Schizosaccharomyces pombe: one gene and its partners. The gene in region 3 interacts genetically with the main gene of each other region. Each region holds a gene or a part of one and is shown on either strand. Other genes may lie near its edges.

Region 1 (8,068 bases), 2.9 Mb from region 3:
ATCAAGACTGCCAAATTCGATATCTTGTGGAGTTCGTTGCAAGAAGTTGCCTAAATATTTGGAGACACGCAGACCATTTGAGCATCGTGTCTTCAACATCACTCGATAGCCTTGCTCTCTGGTAACACTTCTAAATAAATCTTGTTTAAGTCGAGATCCATCACGATCAGCAACAAAATTACTATAGTGGTAAATCTGCCCACCACTTAAGGTCGCAACACTTCCAACAGTAGCAACATCAACATAAGCAGTAGCAGTAAAGAAAATATCAACACCTATACCAGCAGTAACATATTCATCGGCAAGAGATGTATACCACTTGTCTTGGGTGTTCCAAAGATTCTTTTCATCAGAAGTCCCATATAATCTTTGATCTTCACGATGCCTTAATTTCCCCAATCCCATCGTAGGAAGAGCACTAACAAAAACAAAAGCTTTTCCACCTGTTTCCTTAAGAAGGAGTTTTACTACTTCCAGTGCATTGCCAACGACTGGTTCGGGAATTTTAACATCTTGAAAAATTGCAGGGAAACTGTCCAGCAATCTCTCAATGACAACTTTTGAAGCAATGGGATCAACAAAAAGACCGGAAGAAAATGGAACAAAGGGATTCTCTAAATCAGAAGCAGCTAACATATGGGGTTGCTCTAAATTAGGAGATAAATTGAAGAAATTAACGCTTCGATCAAAGCAGACAATAGCAATTTTGACATTAGGATCAAGAGGTACCGGTCCGTAGAGAATATTCCGAATAGCTTCAGCTGCAACCTTGGGAAGTCCTTTGGAGGAAGCTTCATAGGAAACATCAATCATAAAAACAAAGCGAGCCGGCTTTGGCGGATCCTCCTTTATCCAATAGTCCTTCCCCACTTTAAAATCAATAGTGCCAACATTTAATTCTGGACGAGACTCCACTCCATCATGCTGACTACCGACTAAAGGATTAAAACCATCATCATTAAAACTATTTTCTGAACCGCAAAGATTGCAAGTCCATTTACTACTTGCCATCGTGAATTGGATAAAAGGATTGATGTAGCCACGACATTTTTTGCAACGTGGGGGATTTGAATTTGTGTTATCTACAACGGGTACGGGTGCTTCATCAGGACGTAACTCTGCGAACGGTTGAACAATCATTCCCAAGGGGATTCCGGAAGCATTGCAAACATCATTGGTAGCTGGAATCGCGTAACTGGTAAACTGAACGAATTTGGAAGATGAATTTCCTTGTTCATACCCAACAAAATCTGTAGTGGACATAGGTGGAGAACCCTTTTCCATGGTATTGAATATTTGGTTTTTAAACAATTGCTGATCTTCATAGCGAACTTCAGGAGCCGAAGGTAATGCTGCAGGATCGAGGAGATTTGTATCATTAGAAAAAGATTCTGGAAGTACTGAGGGTGTACTTGGCGTAGGATAATTCATGGAAGGCGGGATAGCAGGCGACATGACAGGAGCCAAAGCTGGTTCAGCATCTGTCAATGACATATCATATGCATGGGCATCTTTATGTCTTCTAGCGCGTCGGGGTTGTGGAGCCATTGCACTACCTTGCTGTATATACATTTGTGCGTTCATTTGAGCAGCTAACTGAGTGTCAATTTCAGGGCCCCCATATGAAGCAATATTGCCAGCAACATTTTGCCTATAAGTCTCAGGATTACCGTAATTTCCAAACTGCCCGGGATAGGCCATTTTGTTTTTGTGTCAAGTTTACTTGGTGGATGTACGAATATAAGTAGGTAAGGGTAGGGCAAAATATATACCAAATAAAAAGACTGATTTGAAAGAGTAACACGATATAAATAATTTTAGATAATAAAGTGTGAAATTTGAGATTCTTCAGGAACATCAGATATGAACTGGATGCATTTCCGATTGTCAAAAGTTGACTTCCCTTTAAATTTGGAAATGGACAATTTAGCTCTATATGTAAAAAACCTCAGCTGTTTCAAAAAATGTCATTTCACATGGGCAGTGGCTCTTTAATGAAACAGCTAATAATATTGATACAGCGGAGAAAGTATCTATACACCTAGTATCTATAGCGAATAGTCAATAATGATATTCAAAACAAGTGTTATTAACCTAAATAATTTAGATTGACATTTTGAAAACTAAGAAAGAATGAATGTAAAGATAGGTATAAAAATGTAAAGCAAATTTTGATTGCAAATTATTAAAGGATAGATATATGCAACAGATGCAGTAACAAAAGGAGGGTCAAAGAACGGGGAAATCAAAATCACTGGACTCCATAAACTGATTGTGTCAAAAAATTAAATAAGATATTTAGCAAATGTTCTTGACAAACTTCGTTTAACACTCATTTTTTGGGCATTCACAAAGGAATCAATAATCACTTGAATGGCTTTGTCTATATGTGAAGGGCGCACAAACTCACTGAGCTGCATTTTTGCAAATGCTTCACTTAAACGGATAGCAGACTCCAGATGACGCACAGTAATAGGATAACTTCCAGTAGCCAGTGACTCGCGTCTCATATCGCTATAAAGTCTCGAAATCTTTTCTTCATCCATTTGCTGTAATCGAGGAAAAACTTTTTCACGAGCGAAATGGATATATTTACGAAGAAGATCTTGGGGAATGGGTTTGGCATCAATACCAGTCTCAGTAGGGACTTTCTTCAAGACATCCATATTCGGATCAAATGCAGGATGAGATCGAATATGACTTGATACAACAAAATTAGCTAGCTGTTCATCAATTTCAGGATTAACCGTGTCTTTGACGACCTGAAGGATGTCAAAACGAGATAAAATAGGTTCGGTCAGCTCAACATTTTGATTAAAAGGAATTGTAGTGTTATAACGTCCACCGATGGGATTAGCGGCAGCAATAATAGTGCACCTCGCCTGCAAGGTAGTCACAATACCCGCCTTAGAAATAGAAATACTTTGTTGTTCCATGGCTTCGTGAATAGAAGTACGATCCTGATCATTCATTTTATCGAACTCGTCAATCAAACAAACACCTTTATCTGCTAAAACCAAAGCACCCCCTTCCAAAGTCCATTCATTCGTAATGGGGTCTTTACGGACGGATGCAGTTAGACCAACAGCACTGGCACCCTGACCTGTGGCGAAGACAGCCCTATGTGCCGTTTTTTCAACATACTTAAGAAATTGAGATTTGGCGGTTCCTGGATCTCCCAACAATAAAACATTGATATCACCTCTAATTTTATGCTTACCGTTAATATTTTTGGGGACACCACCGAATAAAGCAGCAGCAATAGCAGTTTTGATAGAGCGATGTCCATAAATAGAAGGCGCCATCGATGCAATAATTCTGTTGTGAATATCAGGCGACTTTGCTAATGCCCGAATTTCCCTTTCCTCATCATCAGTAAGCCGACTTAAAGAGAAATCATCATCAGTATTACCACTGCCGTCAAGTTGCGATATGTGATTTGCTTCTATAATTGTAGCGAAGACAGGAAACCCGTTTTTGGTATTCAGACTAGCATCGAAGTTATTGCGGTATATGCCAGTAACATCAATCTCTTCGCCTGGTTTGGCAACATCAACCAAGTCCGCTAAAAGAATAACTTCACGGTGTCGAGGCAGTCTACCTGAGGGGACGGTGCCAGGTGATTCTTGTAAAGTGATCCTTTGATAGTTATTATATACAGTCCGTTCAGAGTTGATTACAAACGGACCACGGCTGGAACAGTTGTGACAGAAAGAAATTTTTACTTCAACGCTAGAGTCTTGAAAAAATGGACCCAAAGTAGCACCACATTTGGTACATGTAAACCGAATGTATTTTAATTGTGGAAAAAGCCCAGTGCGCCTAGTTACGACACCAGATACCCGTACAAGGCAATTAAGATGGGATTGTCGTAGATCGCGTAAAGTAAAACAAGTAGGAAGATTAGTGATACGAACATGAATATCAGAGTGTATTCTTTCATAGTCTGGATAATGCAAAAGAGTGGCTTCCAAAGCAACACGATCAAATATGCGAAAAATAGGTGCAGGCGCATTGGCCAAGAAATAAGCCAAAATGGGTTTAGATTCACCAAGATGGGCATAATTAACCATCAACGACTCAGCATTAACCTCACCCAATGTGCGAATACGGTTACCGTATACAGAGGTGCCATTTTCATCTGTATATTCAAGAAGGAAATTTTTGAATTCTCGAGCAATTGTACGCCGAACAGGATCAAGAGTAACCCATTCGGCAATACTATCGGCCTTTACGTCGGCAATTGATTCAAGAGGAAGTTCACCAGATTCGTCCAATGCGCCAACATTAGGTGAATATTCGTCGTAAATTCGATGTCGATGACGAGTGAAGCCTGTGCCAAGATTGGAGTCCAAATCATCATCTTCATCTTGTAAAAATGCAGCAGGTTTTGTTCTACCTGCAGCAGCATCGAGCTCAATATCACGTCGTCTCAACCTGGCATCAACAGCTCTTCGGGCCCCGATATCTAATTCTTCAAGATCGTTATCGTCATCTAGTTCTTCAATGTCATAACGATCTAGCTCCAAATTTTGTTGATAATCACTATACAGTTAGAAAAAAGTACCTTATTTGACGCGAAATGTGAAACTACTCTTTTGAAAATCAAGATTTGTTCTGTCAATATAACCGCAACCTAGGAATCCAATAAATATATTTATTTACAAGAAGGAGAAGAAATAGTATGTAATTTATATATTGATGGCAACACTTAGTATACACAACATTGACAAGACACGTCTCAAGCATAGCTATAAAACTTACCGTTCCATTCCTTCTCCGAACAAATCTTCACCTTCTTCATCCTCTACATCTAAAGCTTCTCCGTCCAGATCCTCAATATCCTCCTCCACGAGAGCTTCTGCAGCTTCATCAGAGAATTCTGGAGGAGGTGAAGAAGGAGGTAAAGAAAGAGGTGTAGCACCGAGAGAAGAATTTTCTGATTCAAAAGGTAAACTTTCAGAATCGCGGCGACCCCTTTTCCGAAAAGAATCCATCTTTGGACTCAAATACTTTAAAGATGTTGTTTCTAACTATTTTAATGCATTGAATAGCTAGAGTATTGCAGGATGAAAGAATAAGAAATGCTACAGTATATTGTTAAATTGTATTGGAAAATGTAGTGATACCTGTAAATGAAATAGAGGAGCGTAATGAGTTAGTGTTTTGAATTATTCAAAAGACATTCTTCGCAATTGTTTACGCCGTCTATTTGCCAACGTTTAGTTGCATTTAATAACTTATGGAGGAAACGGCTCATGAATTAACGGTTAAGCAATATGTTGAACAGCAAAGGGAGCTTGAAAGGGAGGCACGAGAAGTTTTGCCTTACAGCTTTGACACGTGCACTTATTCGATGGGCTATTTGAAGCAACCTTTATACGCTTGTTTGACATGTCAAAAAGCTAGCGGAAGCTTAAATGCTGTTTGCTATAGCTGCAGTATTAGCTGCCATGCTGACCATGATCTTGTGGACCTATTCAATAAACGACATTTTCGATGTGATTGTGGCACCACAAGAACCCACTCCATACCTTGTAATTTACGGAAATCCGTTGATGAATGTGGCTCAGAAAATGATTATAATCATAATTTCGAAGGGCGATTTTGCATATGTGATACGGTGTATAATCCAGAGACAGAGGAAGGAACTATGTTTCAATGCATCCTTTGCGAAGATTGGTTTCACGAAAAGTGTCTGCAGAAAACTAATAAAGGAATTGCAATCCCAGATGCTGAGACTTTTGAATGGTTGGTGTGTTCAGAATGTTCAGAAAAATACCGCGATCATCTTTTAAACCAGAAGCATGAAAGCATAGCTGGTACAGAACGAGCGCCTCTATTTCTTTCAGAAAACTTTAGGGAAAATTTGTGCCCTTGTGAATCTTGCATCAGTTTGCGTAATTTGGAGATGCCAATGTTGGTGGCAGAAGAACCTATTTACGAACCTCCTGAGGATTCTGAGGATGGAATCAGTGAGATGAATGAGGATCCCAGTGAATCTGGAGAAATGATTGAGCAAGTCATATCTAGCACAATGAATGATGTCCTTCGTATTTTGGACAGACTTCCTCGTGTACAAGCTAACGAAAGCGTTTATGCGTATAATCGCTTAAAATCTGAGCTAACGGACTTCCTCACTCCATTTGCTCGTGAAAATAGGGTTGTCACCAAGGAAGATATATCAAATTTTTTCTTGGAGCGATCTCGAATCAGTAAAAATTTACGGTAGCGTTAATAACTTTTTTGAATTCCCTTCTTTTTTGGCGTATAATTTAACGTCAAAACATGTAGGTTATACTTAATCTGGTGATGCTTTTTGTGAAACGCTGTTTATACTGGTGAAACCAGAGATATTTTCTATGTGCTTATGGTTAAACGTAATCATTTCTCTATCAAAAATGGTTTAATTGATTTTCTTAACAGAGATGGTTAATTTGAGAGGCTTACTGGGGCTTGTTGGTATACATGATTTTAATGATGATGACAAATTTGTATGTATATTTGAACAATAATTAATATATTGAACTTCTAGCTTTCTTGTCTCTCCTATTTTAACTGCACTCATTAAAATTTTTAAACCTATCTATAGTTTTGGTGGTTGCGTCTTTTATCTTTTATTTTTGATTGAGAAAGCTAAAGAGAAACCCTGTCTGGGTATTTTTTTTTTGTTATATCTCATAATGACTTTCATTTTAATTTTTTCCTAACAGTTTTTTAAGATTGAATTAACTTTATATTTTATTGTTTTCTTTTCATAAACAAAACTAATTTTCAAATAGTGTCGTTTCGTTAATATTCAGTAATTCATATTTTATATGAGCTTTGCGATGATGTTCAAGCATTGAGACCTTAGTTGACAGCAGCTCTTATCCAGCATCATCAACCACTTCCTAGCCGCCATGTCTCAAATGTCTTCAGCTTCTGTTAAATTCCCGGATTCAGTTCCCGGAGTCGATTATCCAAAACAGCTGCAACTGAAATATTTACAAGTCATATTTCGACATGGTGAACGTGCTCCCGTGAAGGAAAGACTTGGTTCCGCCGGTATCCCTAAGGATTGGAAGCTTTGTAATAATGCAAGGAGGTTTTTTGCGCAAATTAAAGGGGAAAAGGAATGGTCTGTGTTGGGTTTTGAAAGGAAGGTTGAGTCACCAGTTGACACGTCTCTTGCAGCACCAACTTCAGACAATTCCCCAAGTGGTGTTTGCATTCATGGTGAATTGACTGATTTTGGGCGTGTTACTACCAGAACACTTGGTGAGTATCTTCGAGAACGTTATGTCAAACAATTGAAATTCTTACCTGATGAATTGAATAACTACGCTGATGTTTATATGCGTGCGACTCCAATGGTGCGAGCCTTGGAGTCTTTAGAACATGTTTTTTCCGGATTGTATCCTGAGTCAAAGCGTAAGATGGGTTTACCTGTCATTTTTACGAGAAATTGGTCAGACGAAAACCTACTTCCTAATGAAAACAACTGTCCTCGACTTGTGCAACTATATGAAGAATTTGCAGAACGAGCTGCTAAGCTTTACGATCCCTTACTTGCAGGCCGTGCCTCTGAAATGATGAGTCAATTCATGAATGGTCAGCCTGTTAGAGTTGTTTCAAGCCATCCTCGTCTCAGTGGTTTGCTTGATACTATTAACGCTGCCATTGGTAGCCATGTCGACTTCAATCCCAACCTAAGAGATGAACAATGGTTACGCGATGCCGAAACTGCTGTTGTAGAAGAATGGTTTGGCGGTTATAAGGTTTCTAAGTTGATGCGTCAATTAGGTGCTGGAAGCTTGTTAAATGATTTAAGCATGAGAATGGAGAACTTCGTGGTCGCTGAAAAGAATGGTTCACCCTATCATCGTTTGGCCCTCTATGGCGCACATGATGTTACAATAGCTGCCATTTTAGCATCTTTGGACGCATTTGACTATCGCTGGCCACCCTTTACATCACATCTTGAAATGGAACTATTCGAAGATACATCAAGCAAATCCGATTCCCAAAATCAAAGCGGCGATAATAAGACGACAGATTTGAAGTTGTTTTCCGATGAGTCTACAGA
Region 2 (6,967 bases), 100 kb from region 3:
CATTTAATATTTTCTCGGAAACTTTTTCTCTGCTACCTCTTGGTTCCCTAATTTCCGATTCTTATCTTGTTGTACATGGTGGCCTATTTTCTGATGATAACGTAACATTAGACCAACTACGAAACATTGATAGATTTAGTAAAAAGCAACCTGGACAATCTGGGTTAATGATGGAAATGCTTTGGACCGATCCACAACCTGCTCCAGGACGAGGACCATCGAAACGTGGGGTGGGTTTACAATTCGGCCCTGATGTTTCAAAACGTTTTTGCGAGGCTAATGGTCTTAAAGCAGTGATCCGTTCTCATGAAGTCAGAGATCAAGGCTACGAAGTTGAGCACGATGGTTATTGTATTACTGTGTTTAGTGCTCCTAATTATTGTGATAGTACCGGAAATCTTGGTGCCGTAATTAAAGTTAAGGAAGACATGGAGTTGGATTTCCACCAATTTGAAGCCGTTCCCCATCCTAACATTCGCCCAATGGCATATGCCAATGGACTGCTAAGTGGTATGTGATGGGAGACTGCAAGCACTGTTCTCAGTGTTTGCACCCACATTTTTTTAATTTTCTGGTTTTTGAAAAAATTTGTTCCACAGCTATATGATCCAGTTAAATTATTTTTTGAAGACTTGGTTGTTTGGGTTTTTATGAAGTTACCGTCGTTCAAAAAAATAATGCTATTTGTATGTTTAATCTTTAGCTTAAGGATTGGTTTCGATACCTGGATGGTTAGGAATTCCCAAATGTTAATTCCTGATTAGCTACTCTTTATTCCAAAAGTTCCATTTCACGTTCTTTGTACAATAAAAATATAAATAATGTTTAAGTTCATATGAACAATGAAGTAAATAAAACAATTGATCCTTTAATATCGCACTGATTTAAAATGCTGTCTTCTTATTATTATTACCCTCAAAATTCACTGCCATCATAAGTCATCAATGTGTCTTCTACTTTAAACACTGTACTTTATTTTCAAGTAACAGTTCAGTCCTTTACTTGTTTGTTTATTTTCTGTTCACAACTCATTTGCTTATATATATTTTTTTTCGTTAATGACAAGATCTCAATAATAGTCGAAAGGTAATTGCATCGAATTTTGGATATACGGGATTTTCATGTCAGCAGCTGATTCTAATATTTTCAACAGCTACTTGCATTTGACAGTAGATATTACATGTATATATAGACAGTTTTACCATCACGCTATTTCTTGTGGACTTGGTGAATTGCCATTCTCGATTAACTTGTGCATATACTATCCGATATCAGATTTAAGATAGCGAGGATCGACATGGAGAGTTAATACTTTAAACCATGACGTCATGCAATGTATGGTTGAGCTGTTTCAACACCAAAAATTTGTACTATCCATCAACAAGTCATACGCGTTGAAACGATCTTTACCCTTTGACATCCCTTCTTTTAGAGATATTCAATTTTTACCGTTTAAATAGTTTTCAATGGCATCTGAGCGCGATCCTCTTCTGCCAGTGCATGGCGAGGGTCCGGAGAGCCCTTCTCGTAGAAATTGGAAAACTTGGATAAAACATGGAATTCTGTTAATCCTTGTTTTATCAACCGTTATATTTTTTTATTTTTTCTCGTCTCATAAGTCCAAAGGGACCAATGAGAAACCAAAATTTGTTATTATGATGGTTTCTGACGGTAAGTGATTGGAGTAAGCTCTCTCATAAATCCGTTGCTCTTTTGAAGGAAAATGATTTTTTTTATATTTAGAGCACTGGGACGGAATCTTCCTTTTTTTTACAATATTTCTCGGTGACTGACTTTTTTTAAAGGAATGGGACCTGGCTCTTTGTCTATGACTAGATCGTTTGTAGAGACTCTAAACGATAAAGAGGGTTATAGGCTTCCCTTGGATGAGCATTTAATTGGCAGTTCACGGACACGTTCCAGTTCGAGTTTGATTACGGATAGTGCAGCCGGAGCAACCGCATTTTCTTGTGCTAATAAAACCTACAACGGAGCTGTTGGTGTTTTGGATAATGAAAAACCTTGTGGAACTATCTTAGAGGCTGCTAAAGAAGCCGGTTACTTAACCGGAATTGTTGTCACAAGCAGAGTTACCGACGCTACACCTGCCTCTTTCTCTGCTCATGCCGCGAATCGATTCATGCAAGATTTAATTGCTGAGTACCAAGTCGGGATGGGACCTTTGGGAAGGAGTGTTGACTTATTGTTCGGTGGTGGACTTTGTTCATTCTTACCTAAATCTACTTATCGATCATGTAGATCCGATAACTTGGATCTTTTGAAATATGCTAGGAAAAAAGAAGGTTTCCAAATTTTGCTTAATAGAACTGACTTTGATGAGCTATCAAACGCTCAATTGCCTTTGCTTGGTTTGTTTTCTGATTATCATCTCAGTTATGATATTGATTATCAGCCTGAAGTGCAACCTAAGCTTTCTGAAATGGTAGAGACGGCTTTGGATGTTTTGCTCAACGCCACTAATGAAGATACATCTAAAGGATTTTTTTTGCTCATAGAAGGGAGTAGAATTGACATGGCCTCTCACAACAATGACCCTATCGCTCATGTTTACGAAGTTATGGAATACAACAGGGCCTTTGAAATAGCAAGTGCATTTGTAGAAAAGAATGGAGGATCTTTAATCTCTACATCGGATCATGAAACTGGTGGTTTGACTGTTGGTCGCCAGGTCTCCAAAAAATATCCAGAGTATTTATGGAAGCCGCAAGTCCTATCTCTTGCTCTCCATTCTATTGAATATCTCGCTTCAGCTATCGTGAACCATAACCAAAATACGTTGCTTCCTTATATTGAACAGTTTGTTTTACCCGCAATTGGCATTCCTGACCCTAATCCAAAGCAGATTCATGACATATACGTGGCCCGGCATAATATATTTAATCTTATAAACGTGCTTAGTGATATTGTTAGTGTAGAAGCACAAATTGGCTGGACCACTCACGGCCATACTGCTGTCGATGTAAACGTTTATGGAGTAGGAGAGGTCACTGAACATCTTCGAGGAAATATGGAGAACATTGAAATTGGACAGTTTATGGAGATATACTTAAATGTTTCACTAAGCGATGTAACTGAAAAGCTCAAAGATGCTCCCATACATGGTGCCCCAGATCGACCTAGTTTAGTGGAAACTTCATTTTCCGATCGTCTTGTAGGTTTCGGTGCTGATTTGTTTTAAAGCCTTTTAATCAAGATTGCCATAAATATATAATTTAGAATACTCTCATATATGCTCAGCTTATTTAAATCGCTTAATTATGGCATTCAAATTCTTTTTAAGTTAAACCTATTTTACTTCTTATCTTTTACTTTATTTAATTTCCACTGTGGTTGAGATATCCAACAATTGCGATTTAAGAGCAAACGAATATTACAATTATACATACAACTTGTCGCAATAAAGATAGTTAACATATCCATAACGAAAATATTATAATAATATTATAATAACAAACACGTTAATATATCAAATATCACAAACATATCGGGATATCATCCATATCATCCACGACAGCCGCGATTACCTCCCTTACAACGATTTTTTCGTAAACTTGAGAGAATGCCTCCATTGAGGCGTCAAGCGTTGACTTTAGCTGAAAAAAAAGCAATTAGAAAACATTATTTTGAGTCAGCAACTAAACCTTCGCAACAAGAGCTTATTAGTTGGTTCGAGGAGCACTTTCATAAAAAGCTAGCACAATCTACCGTTTCGTCAATTCTATCATCAAAGAACGAATTTTTAGATAATCTAGACGCAGAAAACTCTCAAATAAGAAGAAACCGCCAAGGAAAATATCCTATCTTAGAAAACGCCCTTATTGACTGGCAAACGAGGTTGCAAAAACAAGACGGAGCAATTACTGGAAACGCCATCAAAAAAAGCGCCGCAGAATTGTGGAGACGTATACCGGAGTACTCTGAGCTTCCGATTCCAGAATTTAGTAACGGTTGGTTAGAGAAGTTCAAAAAGCGTTGTTTAAAACACGGCCTTAAGTTACAGGGTGAATCTACTTCAGTAAATCAAGGAACGTATGAGGAAAACATGGTTCAAATACAGGAATTAATAAGTCTTTTTGATCCAAAAGACATCTTTAATATGGATGAGACGGGGCTATGCTGGAAACTTATTCCCAATCAATCTCCTGCGAGTGAACGAGTAAAAGGAATTACGAGAGATAAGGCTCGTGTCACCGTCACTATTTGTTGTAATGCTACAGGTTCTGAAAAGGCCCCTCTTTGGGTGATTGGATATGCTAAAAGTCCAAGGGCCTTTCGGCAAGCAAATGCTCATCCTGATTCCATGGATTTTCATTGGCGATATAATGGAACCGCTAGGATGACCACTTCCATTATGGAAGAATGGCTTCGTTGGTTTGACGATTTGATGAAGGGTAGGAAAGTTCTACTTATACTGGATAAGTTTGTCGCTCATGAATGCGCTTTGGAAAATATTCGCAATTCCGAGCGAAAGTTGGTAAACACGACTGTTGTTTTCCTTCCTGTAAATTCTACAGAAATTTACCATCCTTGTGGCCAAGAGATAGTCTACGCTTTTAAATCATACTACAGAAAATACTGGCTTAATTACATGCTTGAGGAGATTCGATTGGGAAAGAACCCCAGTAAGACAATGAATGTACTAAAAGCAGTTAGATGGATGATTCGTTCTTGGAACGTTGACTTTGAACCATCTATAATATACAATTGTTTCCTTCGTTCTGGGCTTTTTCAAAATCAGCAACCACTGACCGGTCCTTCTCCAGAAACCATTAGAATCGCGGTGAATTTGCAAGAATTGATAGGAAAATACCTTGGTGATAAGGATATTTTCCAAATCGAAAATTTTATTAACCCTATTGAAGAAAATTCTGCTGACACTAATGACGATATCGTTAACCAAGTTGCTGCTCAATTTCTTGATGAACGAGAGTTTGAAACCGATGAAGAAGAGGAAGAGTCACAGTATTTGTTATCAACAAAGGATGCGATAAATGCCATCAATACTTTACTAAACTTTCAAGAGCAATCGGAAGATGGAAATGTTTTGTTTACTCGAACATTACTTCAGTTTCAAAAGGTTTTAGAAAGCAGATCGATTGTGTAAAGGTTGTGGGAATTGGAAAATTTGTTTCTAACGAAAATGTACACATTTTCTATACTTTTAAATAATTTTTATAGAATATAAGAAAGATAAATAATTACAGTGAATTCTTAAAGGTTAACTACTAGACGTACTATTTCAATTAATGTGAGATTCGCGCTAAAAGCGTTTATAAACTCAATAAGATATATTGATAAAATAATAAAGTGAAGAATCAATTGTTTAAATTACGAAATTGAATTGGGACAAATTTTTTGTTTTGCGAAAAATAAGCATAGCGCAATGCATTAATCAACACAGTATGACTGTCTGTACTTGTCAACTCCAAACGCCATTATTCAGCATTGCAATTGAAATTGGACGTTGTGAGAAACAATTGAATGGATTTTTTTGAAGATAATAATCCATTCTCTGGCTCTGACAACAGAAGCGCCTCTTCTGCTGTCAATGTAGAGCCAAAAGTTGAGCCATCACAGCACCAGGGCTCTTCATCTGTCAAAGAGAATGCGATTAGCCAACCGAATGAGAGTTTTCAAAGTAGAAACATGTTTTTTCAAAAGGACGTAGATAGTGTTGTTGATTCAGCCCTCGATCCAAACGGAATTGTAATTACTGGAGCTATGAAGGCTGAGAGTGGATCACACATAGTATATATAATCAAACTTCAAGTAAGTTAAGGAAATTGGTTGATAATGTATTAAGTCGAACTATTCATTGTAGAATCCTTGCTTCATTCTTCTCTTTTGTTTGGAAGTATTGAAATGTTTGATTACTAACGGTTTTTAGGACTCAGAAATACACCATCGATATTCAGAATTTGCTTCTTTGCGCGTACAACTTAGCCGCCTGTATCCTACTTGCTTGGTTCCTCCATTACCTGATAAACATAAAATCATGGATTACTTGATAAACGTCACCAAAAACCAACGAATGTCTCGTATGCTCGAAGAAAGAAAGAGATTATTACAATTATTTTTGAGAAGGGTAGCACAACACCCTATTCTGGGCCTTTCAGAAGTTTTTCGAAAATTTCTTAGTCGACATGTATCTTGGAAGGAAGTATTGCATAGTCCTCCTATTAGTTGTCTCCCAAAGGATTTATTGAAAGCCCCACCAGCTGATCCTTCTTCTAAAGAGAATGCTGAGTTATACAAGGAGCTGCCTATTCCCTCTAAAACCCTTGTACCTCGTGACAATTATGACGATGTTGGGAAAAATTTTCTTATGCTTGAAGATACGCTACAGCAGTATTCAATAGTAGCACAAGAGGAATCCAATTTATTTAATCAAATTGTTTTATCAAACTCTAAGTATTGCCTCGCACACTCTACTTTGGGGGCAATGTTTAACGCTCTTTCGTTATCCGAGTCGGGAAAGCTTTTGACAGCACTGGAAAAGGTTGGACAAGCAAATGATCACACATGTCTTGCTAGTATTGACTTTATGCACAACTTTGTAATCGCGGTAATAGAACCGCTTCAGGAGCTTTCAAAAGACGCCAAAAATATGCGTCACATTTTTATCTTTAGAAAGATGAAGTTTATTCAACAGGTAATGGTCGAAGAGCTTCTCACAAGAAAAAAGAGCTTTCTTCATCTTTTGGAGCGCAGGGAGAGACATGCTGCTCGTCTACAACAGGCTATTGGTGAGGTAGATGGGGACGTAATACTCAATAGGGAATCGGAAGCTACTTTGGGTGTAAATAACGCTCAAACTTCTCGTTCAACTATTCCCGAAGAAGATCCCCTATTTAATGATGAAGAATCAAAAGAGCCGTCGGTTCCCTTGATGGGAACCGATCAGCCCTTGGAAAACTATCATGATGGAAATGGAGAGCAAACGGAA
Region 3 (7,768 bases):
GTTTCTTCAGTTGAATTGTAGTATATGCTTAATAATGGTTATGTTTACATCTTGGTTAGACCCATCATAAAGCCGCTCGTACTCGTAATTGTTGTTGAATGGATTGTAAAGAAGACTGTACAAAATTCACTGCATTTTTAACGTGTTTTCGAAATAACTAATCAAACTATCAAAAAGATAACGTATCAACACTAAACCGCACTACTTTATAAATTGCACATCGGGTTGCTTCTTAGCTAGACGGAAAGACAATGCTGACCTTGTCTTCATAATTGTTTACAATCTTCCACCATTCATCTACTCATTAATCAGTAGTAATGTATTAAAATAAACAATTTCTATTTTTTAATTATACAAACAATTTCCTATTCTGAATCTAAATGTAACAGTTGTATCGCATTTGGCATTTCTTTTTTGTAATCCAGCAACCGAAAATTCAATCAAATCAATGTGACCATGGCGAATTGGATATAAAATAACAAAGATTAAGGTGGAAACTTCAACTTTATCAGCGACTATCATTATAGTCAACAAGTAGACAAACTAATAATATAAAGACTAACAAGTCTTGGGGGTATAAACTAATAATACATATGTCTTGCCTCATTTAAAAATGGTAAAAGCAAGGAACCGTTCACGGCTTATATCGATAAACATTCTAAAGCAGGGGAACCAATGTGTTGAAACTGGTAATAAAAAGAGGGATGGGGGTGGTAAAAGAATTCCAATAATCGAAATTCCTTAGAAAAATAAAAATAAAATCCATGTCTTAACAATTACATCAAGAAGAGTAAAAAAAAAAGAAAAGCGAAAATAACGAATTAAAAAAGATTGCATTGTTAGATTGTTTAATGCTTTTATCGAATAAGATAAAACATTCAATTTTCCAATTTTTTGTTTTCCCTTTTTATTATTTTCTTCTGATCATAACGGAAATCGGGTTTTCTTCTTGTATACAATATTCGGGTTTAAGCGCTTACTTCCCAATCAAATGCACCCTTTCTTTGCTCAGCTCCCCAATTAGGAGAGTTCAAGTCATCTCTGACAGTTTGAACGTAAAAGGAAAGAGGTTGCTCTTGGTCGTTACAGCTCATAGCCGACTCAGAGTTAATGCCGATATCGGTGGTTTGATCAGCAACATTGGATGCGGTAAAAGACCAACCATTCTTAGTACCGTCAACACGGGAAGCAACACTAGTAGAGAAGGAAAATCTTGAAGCCGTTGCCTTTAAAGAGGTAGCGGCTAAAAGAGACTTGGAGATGACACCTTGTTTAAGAATAGAAAACATAGCGATGAATCAAAAATGTTTATTGATGAAATTAAAAAGAAAAGAAAATAACAGTGATTAAATAGAAATGTGTAGAATAGAAGTATCACCGTTCGCAGATTTAATTATCGAGACGTCAGCGAAGAAAGAAAAAAAAAATTTTCTTAACTAATTAAACCAACGAATAAAAAATTTTTTTTCTGAAGATGACCGTGTTGATCAAACCAATATTCTTTATTGTTCACTAAAAAGAATATCAAAAGAAGTATTTAGTAGTAGCTAAAATGTATTAACTTTTTACTTTAGAATGTCTCGCAATTGACTTTGATTAGACACTGTTTAGGTGGGACGCAACAATTGTTGGATGGCGAGGTCTCTTAGATGGAAGCCCGCATTTATATAGTTTTAGACTATTTATTTGCCTTTTCCTTTGTGACGAATTCAGATAGCTTTCCTTACTGATAAGAATGCGATACCCGTTCCATACGGCGCAACGTTAAAATAGGCGACTAGCAGTGTAAAGTCCGATACCTAGACGAAAGCAATCGTAAGCTAAAGGTGTCGACAGTACCTCAGTTTGGCTGGCTATCTTAGTATTGCTTACAAGCCCATCATACCATATGAAAGTAAGCTTACGTTCGTTTGATTAATAAACAATGTGATGTCAAAAGCTGTAACGGCCGTTCTTGTATGAGAGAGAAGCTAGCAGAACAAAAAAGGGAGACTTCGCACATTGAATTCAAACAGTTGACATCACAAATGAAAAGAGCGACTGTGTTTAATAAGCGTTTCAAATATTCCATTGGGATTTACTAAGGATTAGGATTTAGAAGAAAGGTTTAACAAAGGGTTGAAAGTTTCATGATAGCAAAGTGTGTCGCATGTAAACAAAAGAACATTCATTTGAAATCATAGCTATATCCATTAGCTAGCTAATTAATTAGTAAGTTGGTTAGTAATTTAAATAATTAATTTTCATCATAATGTATAGAAAAACAACGTAAAATTCAGGGAACTATTTCTAAGTCATCCTCATCATCACTCTCAGTAAATTCATATCGGAATTTGATATTTTTTAGGGAGCCGGATCGTGAAAGTCCAGTCGCTGTGGAGTGCGTTGTAGATGCATCTGCGGAATGCGTTGGATCGAAACCTATTTTTCGTAGACTTTGGGGGGAAAAAATCCTCGGCGAAGAGGTAAACACTACCGCTGGGGAAACTTTGGTGGATGTAGTATCTTGTGGAACGGGTGTCCCTGATGCCGCATCGTTAGTGCCGAGAATAGCAGAGTTAGAAAAAGATGGTAGAGAGGATTTAGGGTTCATTATAGATGCATTAAAAGAGGCCAGAACGGATGGTTTTTTCGTCGATGAATCAATTTCGCTATCTTTAGAAAGAGCAGTGGGATTACCCTTGTCATGTAAATTTTTAACGCCGGAACCTTGTAAATTTAGATACTGATGGCCGAGTGTTCGCATCGACATTCCCGTAGAGAGGTTATTCGAGTTAGAGCTAGACGAAGAGGAAGCGCAACATCGCTTCGATAATCGCACCAAAATTTCACGCTCGCGTTCAGCCTGCGCTCGTTGTTTTTTGTATCGTTCCTTGCGCTCCCTCTCGGTCTGAACGGCGTCTTCTGCATCATACAAACCAGCTACTGCGTTAGGAATTGCGGAATACTTTTCCCCAGCAAAGTATCCTTGGAACCCTTGTCCACGAAATCGCTTTTCACGTCGTGCGCGAGGCTCGTGCATAGTCGCCATACTTGAAGCAAACTCCGTTCGCGTAGACATGGACCGCTGGACAGCGAGGTCAACGTGATATTCACATACATCTCCGGCACGCTTGTCGAGCCAATGTTTACATAGTTCACCGCTTTTTCTTCGGCTGGAACAATAGCCAAGGTGTTTGGAGCGACCAATCTCTAAAAGTACATCGTACTCAGAATCCAGCTTCAGAGAAAAGCGTCCAATGTCTGGGTTCTTTGGCTTTAGTACTTCAGGATTGAGAAGCGCAATGACAGTACCACTCTGGATCTTCCAGTATCGTTCAAACGCCTTTCCAAACAGGAAGCACTCCAGTTGCCATTTCAAGTCAGTCAGTGTTAGCATACAATATTTATTCCCATTCACAGTTTCTCTGGTTCCACTATTACTGGCAACAATGCCCATAACTACATAGTTGTCAACTTCTGGCGCTTCAAATTTAGGAGCTCTTACTAGTTTGAGTAGTTGGTGAATGAGATAAACTTGATTTCCCCCTATATTTTCCTTAGCAACCTCATCACTTATGTATCGAATAACAATGGCTTGTCTTGAATAAGGATCGATTTCATCACATTTCATAGGAAATTTCTCCTCTTCACTTTTTCCATCTTCAAGTATGTTTCGCTTCCTCTGGAACGATTGCTTTCTATTTTTTTTCATCGTTTTCAATTTATCGCTCCTCTTCCTTTCTTGGTTCCTTGCCTCTGCAAGTCGTTCGTGAAATGGTTTTGGTAGAGGCCCTCGAGGCCCTTTTCCTAATGAAACATCTTTCCCCGTCTTTCCTTTATCGATTCCTAATATCAATCGCTTGGGACTTTTTAGTTTACTAGGCGAGCTGACTGTAAGGACACGAACTTGCTGAGGAGGAGATCTTGGAACCTGAATAACTTCAGCGTTCTCCGAAGAAGCCTCCTTTTGAGCACTTCGTAGACGCTTCTTTTCTTGAATTTCATTTAGCTGCCTCTGTAACCTCTTTTCTTCCAGGTCCAAGTCATTTTCTTCTGCAATGAAGGGATCATGCATACTTGCATTAATTAAACTTGGTTTCCTCTTAATCTTAAACCTCCAAAGTCAATGATAAAAAAAACCCCCCGCCTGTTAGATATAGTCAATTTCTCACGAATACTGAAACTTTTCAACCCAACCCTAGAAAACTAGCTTTTCAGGAAATTAAAAAAACTCTGATCAATAAAATTTTCTTCTCTATTGTATGAGTAGCCAAAACAAATAACAGGATAAATTTAATACTGCCACATTTGTATTTTGAAATGCGAAGATATTGTTGAAAAGTTTAGTGCCAAAAACAGGAAATTCTTTAGTCCTGGAAAAGGAAGCAAGTAATAATTATAAATCTTTTTAACAAGATATTCTTATTTTCCAATACTTAAAAATCGCGGTTAAACATATAGGAATGTAAACAGTTAGCGGACATCTAAAGGACATGTGTTTAAGGATGCAAAATGTAGTGCATAAACAAGCATAATGTGCAAAATTAAATCCTCTCTATACTACACATGCTATAGGTAAACAACATAACTGCAGTTTGAATAATAAAAGGTTAAAATAGATGCGCTAATTTAATGAGTATACACGTTCGATATCACGAATTCATTTACATAATATAAACTTACGATATTTGTCTATATAGAATCATAAAAGATGTGTCTACAGTATTCAAATGCATATAGTAACTTATTTAAAAGGGGTATTTTGAACAGTTAAATTTTAAACGTCGAACTTTTTTTTACATTTGGTGGAAGAGATTGCCTAGTTTCCGTTGTCTATTCAAATTTGCGCTTAATATTAAAATCTTTGTGACAACAGTTGGCCAGTTCTTTTGAAACCAACTTATGAAGAAAAATCATATAACGAAATTTCCAGTATTGTATAAAAAAAGCCTGTAATCCCACATAATATTTGGTTGATCATATTCGAAATTGTCGTTTCAATGAAGTTTAGTCCTTTCTGAATGCTCAGTATGTAGTTTCGTTTAAATGAATCACCGGGACTCACAGTGTTATAAGTTATCATAAGCTATCAATTTAATGGACATCAATACTTGTTTAAATGAAGCAATTCCTGGTCTGATTGCTTCACCTTCTAAAATCGGGTACCCAGACCATTCATTTGTTTATCCCTAATTAAAAATTAAGGGGATCATGTTTTGATACCACTAATAACCATCAGCTGTAATTTTACCTCATACAGCTTCTCTCCGTTAGCTAAATCTAAGGTTTTAGCGTCTTTTGACTGGGTTGACCGTTGATACTTAGCTTCATCGACCCACACATTTGCCTGAGCTTTACCAATGACTTCAGCGTTTGACAAAGATGCATTTTTGAATAAATTCAAAATTGATTGCGGAGTAAATCCACCATGATGAGCTACGCCAAGCTTAGCTATTTCATCAGGATGCAAATTACCATGAAAAGTATCACCCCCCTTTATTAAATCTGCGACAAATAATCGACCATTAGGTTTTAAAAGTTTAGAAAGCTTATTAGTCACTTCCTGTAGGTCCTTGATATGATGATATGCCATGGAGCATACAACAGCATCAAATTCAGTAGAAAATGGTTCATCGCCGTTGCCATCCAAATCATCCAAACTTAAAACATATGCACAGGCTCTTTCTTTGGGAATGTTCATCTTTCTAAATTTTTCATTATAAACGTCCACCATGTCTTGGGAAACGTCTATGCCAACAATTTGTTTACAGTAAGGGAACAGGTGTTGGCTAATTAAACCAGTTCCACAAGCAAAATCCAATATACTCATACCACTTTTCTTCCAAAAATTATTTACATTTGTCAAATCATCATCCGAAGTTAAAAGCAGCCTATCTTGATCATATTTTGGGAGATCATGTCTTAGGCTGGTTTCGGAATTGTCTTCAAACTGTAAAATTTTTGAAGAAATCACTTTGGAAATCGCCAAGGTACTTGGATTGTCATATTTCGATGCTTCTATTTTGTTGTAATGAGACACGTTGGCATAAACTATATCCGACATGATATTTTAGTTCCTTTTATATTGTTAATGAACGGTGAAGTCTTGCTAATAGGAATATTAAAAAAAAAGATAATCAAGGACTATCTTTAAATGGTTATGACTGAAAATTTATGTCACAAGGTACCACGATTATGAAAGATTAGCACAATTTCCCTTTTTATGATTAATATAACTAAAACTTATTAAGCGAGAATTTGTTTAGAACTATTATTGGATGTTAGACAGAAAAGAGCCTGTTAATATAGAAACTTCAGTAGCTTCTTATTTTAACTAAATTATTGTATTCGACAGATTAGGATTCCTGTGACCGTCCTTTTGCTTTTGTATAACGCTCATTTTTGTATTACCCTAATACCCGAATTTTGTAAATAAGCTTGGACTTTTTATATACTACTGGAAACCGCTGCGCATAATTTAAGAAGCTAAATTGGGTTTCGTTCCAACACACTATTTGCATTGAATTGTAAAGTATTGTTTACATGAATCGTTTTGAGTAAATCCCTAGGTAGGGTGTTAAATGAAGCAATTAAGCATGATTCAAGATATTCGTTAAAAAGTACGAATCATTTGGCCTAAATTGTTAGTCTAGCTGACTTGCTGCATGGCTCTCAAAGTGGCCCGCAAGAAAGGCTCCATAAATTGCTCAGATCACTGTAAGTATTTACTGTTAAGTAAAAATACAAAAAGGAGCTTCGCTAATGAAACAGTAATTTGGAAGTTGATCTATTCATGTCACAAAAAATGCGGTAGCAATGTAATAATGTTATAACCCATTTTGAGACTTACACCGAAAGAATGTACACGAGGAAGATTCATTCATCAATGGTTTAAATAACACATCAACCACCTTTGAGGTACTTGCAAGCAAGGAAGGTCATATTCGTTCGCTTTTAGTTACTTCACTAATTTTCAACTAATGTACTTCACGTTTTTCATTACTTTACAATCAACGTAGTAGAACATGTAGACTTAGTCTTGTTCACCATTATACACTCTTTATGTATAACGTCCGCAACCAGTTTTTTTTCATTAAAAAAAAAAAAATTCGATGTGATAAACAGTTAGTATAGTCAATCTAGCAATTATTAAGATGAGAAAATACTCAATGTCTATTTTATTAGTTTATTAAGGATATCTATACTTTGGCTTTTCAATTTAACCAATGCTGTTTTTTTTTGGTACTTGAAGCCGCAAGCTTTCTATTCAATTCACTACCGTGGTTTACCATTGAATTTCTCATAACTAAGATTGCCGCTCTTGACTTCAACATCGACTGTTATATTTCTTTTTTAAGAATATGCATTTCATTTTTTTGTACTGCTTTCTTATAAAGATGGAGTTCTTGACTAACAACGTGTCTTGAACAGACAACAAAAAGTCGGTACGAATCTCCTCTTACTTCAGCCATCTTTTATATCAACTTCATGATTATCTTAAGAGGAACAATCAATTTTATATGCTTAATTTCTTTCGTATATGTACAACTAGAGTCGTCACTGTTTTAAATTTTGATATACCCAAATCGTTGTCAATACTTTTACAAAATACTCATCTTTAGCTGAAAGTTACACAACGAAATCTTTCTAATTAAAAAATTGTGTTTGCAAGTACTCAGAGTTGTTTTCAATTGATATCTTTGCATTTTTTACTTTTGTTGCAAATAGTGGTACGAAGTTTCAGACGTGATTGCCTCACAAATTTTGGGGTTTCATAATTTAAACT
Region 4 (7,339 bases), on a different chromosome or scaffold from region 3:
ATCCTTTCTGCGTCTTTTTAAAATTTTCAACATGCGAAGCTTTCTCTTGACACTGTTGTGTTAAGGTTCGTTAAGCGGTTCGCACTTTGACCACCTTCGGACATTTGTCTTCGTTTATAGTCCATGTGATTAGTGCATAACCTGCTATGGTATAAAGCATGCAACAAAGGAAAATGAAAGAAAGTATTGAATATGCGAAATGCGACGCTGATTAAGGAAGACTAGAATGAATTAAAAAATTTTTCTTGATATTGCTTTAGAAAATCTTTTTCGTTTCCATTTGTTGTTCTTTTTTTTGCATACATTTTTTTTTTCGGTGGCATTCATTTTATTCTTTTCGGTTTGTTTACCTAATCAAATTTTACTATTTGGAAGTGCTTCATCCACATTTTCAAGAGCTAATAAAATTTTTTTTTTTGCTTTCTTATTTCCCTTTTTTTATTTTTATTTTATTTCAATTATTAACTCTTCTCTTTTTTCCCTCTATCTGTTTCTTCTAACTAATCATCTTTGCTCTACATTCAAATCACTCAGTAATTTGTTCGCAAACATCGCAACTAAATTTGGAAATGAAATTCAAACTATTTTACTCATGGTCGCAGTGCCAATTTCCATTGTGCAACTTGTCAAGATAGCGAAGATCACTGAAATTTGTAAATTCAAACACATAAAACGCAAAACCGTGAGAACTATACACTCTTCCAATGTTTTAATTTTTTTGTTTCTCCAATTTACTTTTTTAATAACCCATATTATTACTCATCACATTATTGTATTGTTGTTTTAAGCATGCCATTTTTTCGTACTGGAGCGCGTTAAAGATCTGATAAGCAAAACTTTCAAGATTTAAGAAGATATGTATATATACTTTAAGATCACCATAGCTAGTGTGGATCATTCTAGTGTGTATTTTAAAAATGGCATATTCCATTTTGTTTACTCTACTTTCAAATTTTTTTTTTTTTAAAGTGGGTCATCACTACAGAAATTATTCAATGAAATATATCTTCTGTTTTGTAGCTCAATGAAAACTCATAATTATATAAACATATTTCCTTAAATTCCACACTCCAGTTGCCTCATATCCATAATGTGATTTTTTTATGTCTTGTTTTGGTAAAATCTCTGATTGTGTGTGGCTTTTTTACCTAGCTATTAAAATTAATGGTTCGGTTTTCAGATTCGGACTTAAAGTCATATCAAAACCCCTACCCATTTTTCTAGCATTTCCAATAGTGGTTTACCAGCGCAACAACTCAAACAGCATCTCACTCACAAAACCATATGATCATTCATCATCTATAGCATTTAAATTAAATTAAATTAAATTAAATTATTAAAGCATCATTGCTTAATGCTTTATTTTTCATTTGCGCGCTAACTGATTTTTATTTATTAATTGTTCTCACTGCTTCTCTATATCTCTGTCTTGCATACAACAAAGGAAAACACAATGTGACACAGTTTATACAAAAAAAATCATTAATAATTCATAATATCATTAGAATCCTATAAAATGTTTTGTTGTTCAGGTATATGTACACACACTAAGTGAATTTAAAAGAATATTAAACGAGAAGGGTTCAAAGCCGCCCGCCATAGTTAACCAAAAGTAAGCAGAAACATTAATCTCAATTAAAAAAAGTAATTTTGTACGAGTGTCGACTTTTGTTTCACTATATTTTTTTTTTGGAAATTTGTTTGCTTTGGAGATTGAAATCATCCAACGTGAAGCACTTATTGGGTTTAGTAAGACTCGCTCTCAATTTATTTCCGTAAGTGGATCACGCTATTAAATTATTAGGGGCAATCACTCTTTGTCTGCGGTACAAATCTAAAACAAACGAGGGATCCCCATTTTCGTGTTGCTCAAAATATTTTATTAAGACTTCAAAGGCCATGGCAGCCTCCACGTTTGATATTTGAGGCTCCACGTCTTCTTCCTCATCCGACTCAAAGCGTCTCTCCTCCAGAAACTCTGCAGCAACGGTATCCACAGCATCTTGATGTAATTTGGTTTCATCTTCTTCAGAAGGTCTAATGTATTCATTAATTTGCTTAACAGCTTCGCTGCCCTTGCTTGAAATCAGATTACCAATTTCCATAATGGCCTTTTGATACGACTCCATTCCTTGTCCTTCGGCCTCGGAATGTGGACCCAATAATCCTGATCGGAGAAAAGATGCTTGAATAGTCTTTTCACTCACCCCAAAATTCCAAGACCAAAGCATCCACCGAATGGCTTTTAAAACATTAACGGCTTTTAGAGGATCTCTCAATATGTTGATTTGATTAAGGGAGTATTGCAACCAGTATCTTCGATAATTCGCTTTAAATGTATCGACTATTCCTTGTTCAAACGGAGACTTAATGTCCAATGTTTTTTCTGGAATTCGAAATACAGAGGTGTTCTGAAAACCACCTTTAAACCGTCGAACACTTTCAACACCGAACTGATATGTGTCATTGCTCTCTAACATCAATAGGACCTTGCGTCCTTGCATACGTGTGTCAAACCACCGAAGCCATTCCTCCATAATAATTGGTGAAATTGAAGCTCGGCCATTCCACTTCCATTCGAAGTTCATACTTTTAGGGAAAATACCGCACTGCTCAAAAGATCTTGGGTTTTGTGCATAACCCACGATCCATAAAGGTAGTCGTTCTGACCCATCGGCATTGCAACACATAATTAAAGACACTTTGGCTTTTCCACGCTTCATTCCCTGGATTTCCTGATAATCCAAGTTTTGTTTATTAGGAGTGAGTTTCCAAAAAAGGCTTGTCCCTCCAACGCAAAATATATCTTTTTGGGCATAAGGCCGTATAAACTCTTGAATATGAACTGGGTATTCTCTAAACACCTCAAATTTGATGGATTCCAATGCCTGATTTACCGCACTTTGCTGGATATAATGTCTTCTTCTAAATTTATCCAACCAACCATTGCTAAAGTCTGGTAATGGGAGAGAAGCATACGCCGGAATTTTCGACCAAAATCGAGTAGCAGCTTGTTTGATCATATCCCCTGATATAGGAAGGCCTTCAACTTCTCTTTGTTGCAACCATTCGTACACGGCATTGTCAAGCAAAGGAAACTTTGGAGCTCGAATTTTTTTAATATCACCGAGTCTTACACTTCCATCATCTAAATAACTGTATTTGGGTGAAAGAATTTCGGAAATCGTTGACTGCGATAAATCTTTATTGTACGTTTTTCGAAACCATTCTGTCACTTCCTTTTGAGGAATTCTATGGGCAGATTGGTTATAATAATCTCGAATTGCCTTTTTCTCTGCTAAAGAGACGGCCTGGCGTATAGGAGGCATTGATTTTCCTTAATACTTACTATGCCGATACTTTTCCAGACCGATATAAGAGTATAGCCTTGGATTTATACAATTATTTTATGTTGTAGTAGATATCGGAAATAACGGTGAAAAGACGAATTCTATCCTTGTAGGGTTTAAGAAGGTGAGTACTACTAGTGCATCCTTCTGCCTTGCACCCTATATAATCTAAGTGCAATATACCGAACCTATTGTTAATCTGTAATAACAATGCCATTGGAGATGCTCAAATTATGACGTTCAGGTTAATATAGCAAATTTGCGTATCTTAACGATTTTGTCAGTAAGAAAAAGAGAATTCAAGAGCAAAAAATAGGAGAAAGAACGACATGAACGCTGTTAGAAACCGTTTAAAATCAATTCTCATATATGTTTTAAATGAGAGTCTAATTGAATACTTCCTCAAATTTCATTTCTGTAGCACACCTCTTCTCACTATTAAACAAAAATGTGTAAATAAATAAATGTTCCTTGGTATTGTAACAAAAATGGCGATTCTGAAGTTCATGAGCATTTTCCCTTCTCTTTCATTTAATAAATTCTCGAATTTTCAAATAACATAATATGTAAGTTCTCAGTTTTGGTGTAATTACTTTTAATTCCAATATTTCCATTCATAGTTCAATTCATAATACTTACTATCAAGTCTATTTCAATAATGTATGTTACACGTGTGATCCAATGTTTAAAAATGTAGAAGTAAATTTATAAAAGCAAAGCCAAAAATAAAGAACAAAGCTGTTTAAGCTAGTTACGGTACGAAGAGTAGGTGTTACTTACGTTTGATTCATTATTATTAACAGTAGAACTAATTAGTAAGCATCGTCTCAAAGAACCATTAGGAAATTCTTACAGCATACGGTACCGTTATCATATAAATAGCAAGCTTTGCATACCTAGCAGCTTAGTTTTTCCAATATTATTCGCTTAAAATTGAGAATACACATTTGATATTTACAGAGTTAAGCATTTTTAAATTAAAGTTGTGAAAAGATGCCTATCGTTAGCGGATTTAAAGTCGGACCTATTGGCTTTGGTCTTATGGGTTTAACCTGGAAGCCCAAGCAAACTCCAGATGAAGAAGCCTTTGAAGTAATGAATTATGCCTTATCCCAAGGCTCCAATTATTGGGATGCGGGTGAATTTTATGGTGTCGACCCTCCCACCTCTAATTTAGATTTATTAGCTAGATATTTTGAAAAATATCCCGAAAACGCTAATAAGGTGTTTTTATCTGTCAAAGGTGGTTTGGATTTTAAAACACTAGTTCCTGATGGAAATCCGGACTTCGTGTCAAAGAGTGTTGAAAATGTGATAGCTCATTTACGTGGGACCAAAAAGCTAGATCTCTTCCAATGTGCTCGAGTCGACCCAAATGTTCCCATTGAGACAACCATGAAGACATTGAAGGGGTTTGTGGACTCTGGAAAGATTTCATGTGTCGGCCTTAGCGAAGTTTCTGCTGAAACTATCAAACGTGCTCACGCTGTGGTCCCCATTGCTGCAGTCGAAGTCGAATACTCCTTGTTTTCTCGTGATATCGAGACAAACGGTATTATGGATATTTGTAGGAAGTTATCTATCCCTATTATTGCATACTCTCCTTTCTGTCGTGGCCTTTTGACTGGTCGCATTAAGACTGTCGAAGACCTTAAAGAATTTGCTAAATCTTTCCCATTCTTAGAATATTTGGACAGATTTAGCCCTGATGTTTTTGCTAAAAATCTTCCATTCCTCCAAGCTGTCGAGCAACTTGCTAAAAAGTTTGGTATGACTATGCCCGAGTTTTCACTTCTTTTTATAATGGCGTCTGGAAACGGTCTGGTCATTCCTATTCCTGGCTCCACATCTGTTTCTCGTACAAAGAGCAATCTCAATGCACTGAATAAATCTTTGTCTCCTGAACAATTTAAAGAGGCCAAAGAGGTCTTGAGTAAATACCCAATCTACGGGTTACGTTATAATGAACAGCTTGCGGGCACTCTTTCCGTTTAAAGTGCTGAAGTTAGTCGATACTCTTTCGCATTTCAGTTTTGAAATGCATATTAAATATAAACTTATTATATGCTAGCCTTACTTAGGTATTCAGTAATGACAATTTATTTACAGCGAAAATGTTAAATCATTTGTTTATAGAGTTTGGCTTGTTATTACCGATTTCTGCTCGATCTCGTTTAAATGTTTCTAGTATGCTCTAAAAAAAAAAGAAAAAAAGAAAATGATGGGTGCTCACGATCAGTTTAAAGCTGCTCTACAAATGGAATGTATTGAAAGTCAGCAAAAAATATTCAAAGACTAATATGACTTTCCTTGCACATTTTCCAAAACGCCCGTCGTTGAGTATATAGTGACTTGGGGGATCCGAATTCCACCGTTTTACCAGAATCCAATACTAAGACTTTATCATAATCTACAATTGTTTTAATTCGATGGGCAATGCACAAAACGGTAGCATGTTTAAATGCTGCACGAAGCATTTGCTGAATTCTTCGATCAGTAGTATCATCTACCGACGCTGTGCTCTCATCCAAAATAACAATACGAGATTTTCGGACTAACGCCCGTGCAAGGGCTAGAATTTGCCTTTGGCCGGAAGAAAAATTGACACCTCCTGAATCAACCGGTGTGTCAAGATGTATCGCAAAAGCGTCAAGAGAATTTTTGTTTGAAGCTTGCACTAAAGATTCACAGGAAGCAGTCTTAAGTATTTCATTTAGTTCTCCGTCTCCATACTCCTCAAAAGGATCAAGATTGCTTCGGACCGTACCGGATATTAGCACAGGATCCTGTGGAATTAAACTAATACGTTGACGAAGGACTTCCAAATCTAGAGAGTTGATATCAATGCCATCTACTTCAACCGCACCTGACATGATCATCGTAAAGCGAAGTAAAGTTAAACCCATTGTACTTTTACCACTTCCTGTTCGCCCAACAATAGCAATTTTCTCTTTGGGAAGTATTTCCAAGTTGATGTCTTCCAAAACCGCCGCTTGGCCAATTGAATAAGAGACTGTAAGATTTTTGATGCTGACATGCCCCAAAGTAGGCCATTCTTTATTCATAGGTTTCGTCAAACAAGAACTTTCGTTCTTTTCACTTGGTAAAAGCATATATTCATATAATCGGCGAAAGTTGTTTATGTATGTCAAAATTTCGTTGTTAGCCCTAACAAAAACGAGTACAGAGATGTTAAAACCAATGGCACTATTTAAAGAGAATCCGACGAGTCCAGGTGGTATGTTTTGTCTTAACAAAGCAATAAGACCAGTTGAAAACCCTACTAGGCCACTTATCCCATCCGTACGTATTGCCAGCCATCTGTTAATAGCAAATGATATATACAATGGTTGAATCATATCGTCAATAAAAGCCATATTTTCATGTTCAAAAATCTTCTCCTTTTTAAAAGCACGGATAACTGTAATCCCTCCTAAAGTCTCTCCCAGCATAGTGAAAACAGGTGAGGTTCTCGAGGATTGTAGGCTGGTAAGCTGTTTTTGTGCCTTTGAGTACGCATATCCATGAAGATAAACCAATAAGCTAACAAAAGCAGCCGGCACCATAAATATTGGCATCACCAAAGTAACGTTTAGCATAGTTATTAATATAGCCATTACACACAACAACATGCCTTCCAAAGAGGCCCATAACAGATTATCCGTGGCGTACATATCTTTAGAAAATCTATTCAATATCCTCCCAGCAGCCGTTTTCTCAAACCAATGTAACGGACTATATAAAACTCGTTCACTTAAAATATCATGGATATTTTCACTTGCCGTTCTACCACCTTTGGCAAAAGTAATTGCACGCGATAAATCCATAAGAAAGTATATAAACAAAAGTATAGCATAGCCCCATAAGAAAGAAAAAGAAGAAGGAAGCTTAAGTGAAAATAAAGAGTTTCCGGACCATAAAGCTATCCAAAAATGAATGCTGGCCAACGAAACTTGGGACATCATAACTAGTAGTATTGACCCTAGGAT

The links.
Region 1: mutations in cdc23 (region 3) and mcm2 impair growth when combined (synthetic growth defect), as found in Schizosaccharomyces pombe (one study listed by BioGRID).
Region 2: mutations in cdc23 (region 3) and cbh2 impair growth when combined (synthetic growth defect), as found in Schizosaccharomyces pombe (one study listed by BioGRID).
Region 4: mutations in cdc23 (region 3) and cbh1 impair growth when combined (synthetic growth defect), as found in Schizosaccharomyces pombe (one study listed by BioGRID).

The regions. Positions count from the first base shown.
Region 1 is NC_003423.3:1,189,112-1,197,179, forward strand, and holds mcm2 (MCM complex subunit Mcm2), read right to left. Parts: upstream 5,032-8,068; 5' UTR 4,998-5,031; coding exon 4,765-4,997; exon of another isoform or gene 4,546-4,764; coding exon 2,286-4,545; 3' UTR 2,097-2,285; downstream 1-2,096. Other genes in the region: COPII-coated vesicle-associated protein Sfb3, read right to left, coding at 1-1,701; ubiquitin protein ligase E3 component mlo2, read left to right, coding at 5,243-6,232; SPOM_SPBC4.06 (acid phosphatase), read left to right, coding at 6,903-8,068. UniProt on the Schizosaccharomyces pombe protein: Acts as a component of the mcm2-7 complex (mcm complex) which is the putative replicative helicase essential for 'once per cell cycle' DNA replication initiation and elongation in eukaryotic cells.
Region 2 is NC_003423.3:4,179,024-4,185,990, reverse strand, and holds cbh2 (CENP-B protein 2), read left to right. Parts: upstream 1-3,552; 5' UTR 3,553-3,580; coding exon 3,581-5,125; 3' UTR 5,126-5,254; downstream 5,255-6,967. Other genes in the region: SPOM_SPBC3F6.01C (serine/threonine protein phosphatase), read left to right, coding at 1-518; pho8 (alkaline phosphatase), read left to right, coding at 1,467-1,671, 1,806-3,199; sorting nexin Snx41, read left to right, coding at 5,503-5,790, 5,909-6,967. UniProt on the Schizosaccharomyces pombe protein: Binds to the central core and core-associated repeat regions of centromeric heterochromatin.
Region 3 is NC_003423.3:4,075,728-4,083,495, reverse strand, and holds cdc23 (MCM-associated protein Mcm10), read right to left. Parts: upstream 4,440-7,768; 5' UTR 4,058-4,439; coding exon 2,276-4,057; 3' UTR 1,932-2,275; downstream 1-1,931. Other genes in the region: SPOM_SPBC1347.14C (uncharacterized protein), read left to right, coding at 852-1,217; protein sro1, read right to left, coding at 969-1,289; SPOM_SPBC1347.09 (hexaprenyldihydroxybenzoate methyltransferase), read right to left, coding at 5,192-6,046. UniProt on the Schizosaccharomyces pombe protein: Required for DNA synthesis. Required for entry into or completion of S phase. Involved in DNA replication and seems to participate in the activation of the pre-replication complex (pre-RC) and in transcription elongation.
Region 4 is NC_003424.3:4,457,441-4,464,779, forward strand, and holds cbh1 (CENP-B protein 1), read right to left. Parts: upstream 3,439-7,339; 5' UTR 3,330-3,438; coding exon 1,785-3,329; 3' UTR 1,480-1,784; downstream 1-1,479. Other genes in the region: pyridoxal reductase Plr1, read left to right, coding at 4,344-5,345; abc1 (ABC transmembrane transporter Abc1/Ybt1), read right to left, coding at 5,639-7,339. UniProt on the Schizosaccharomyces pombe protein: Binds to centromeric K-type repeat DNA and ARS3002 DNA. The CBH-binding consensus sequence is Py-Pu-A-T-A-T-Py-Pu-T-A.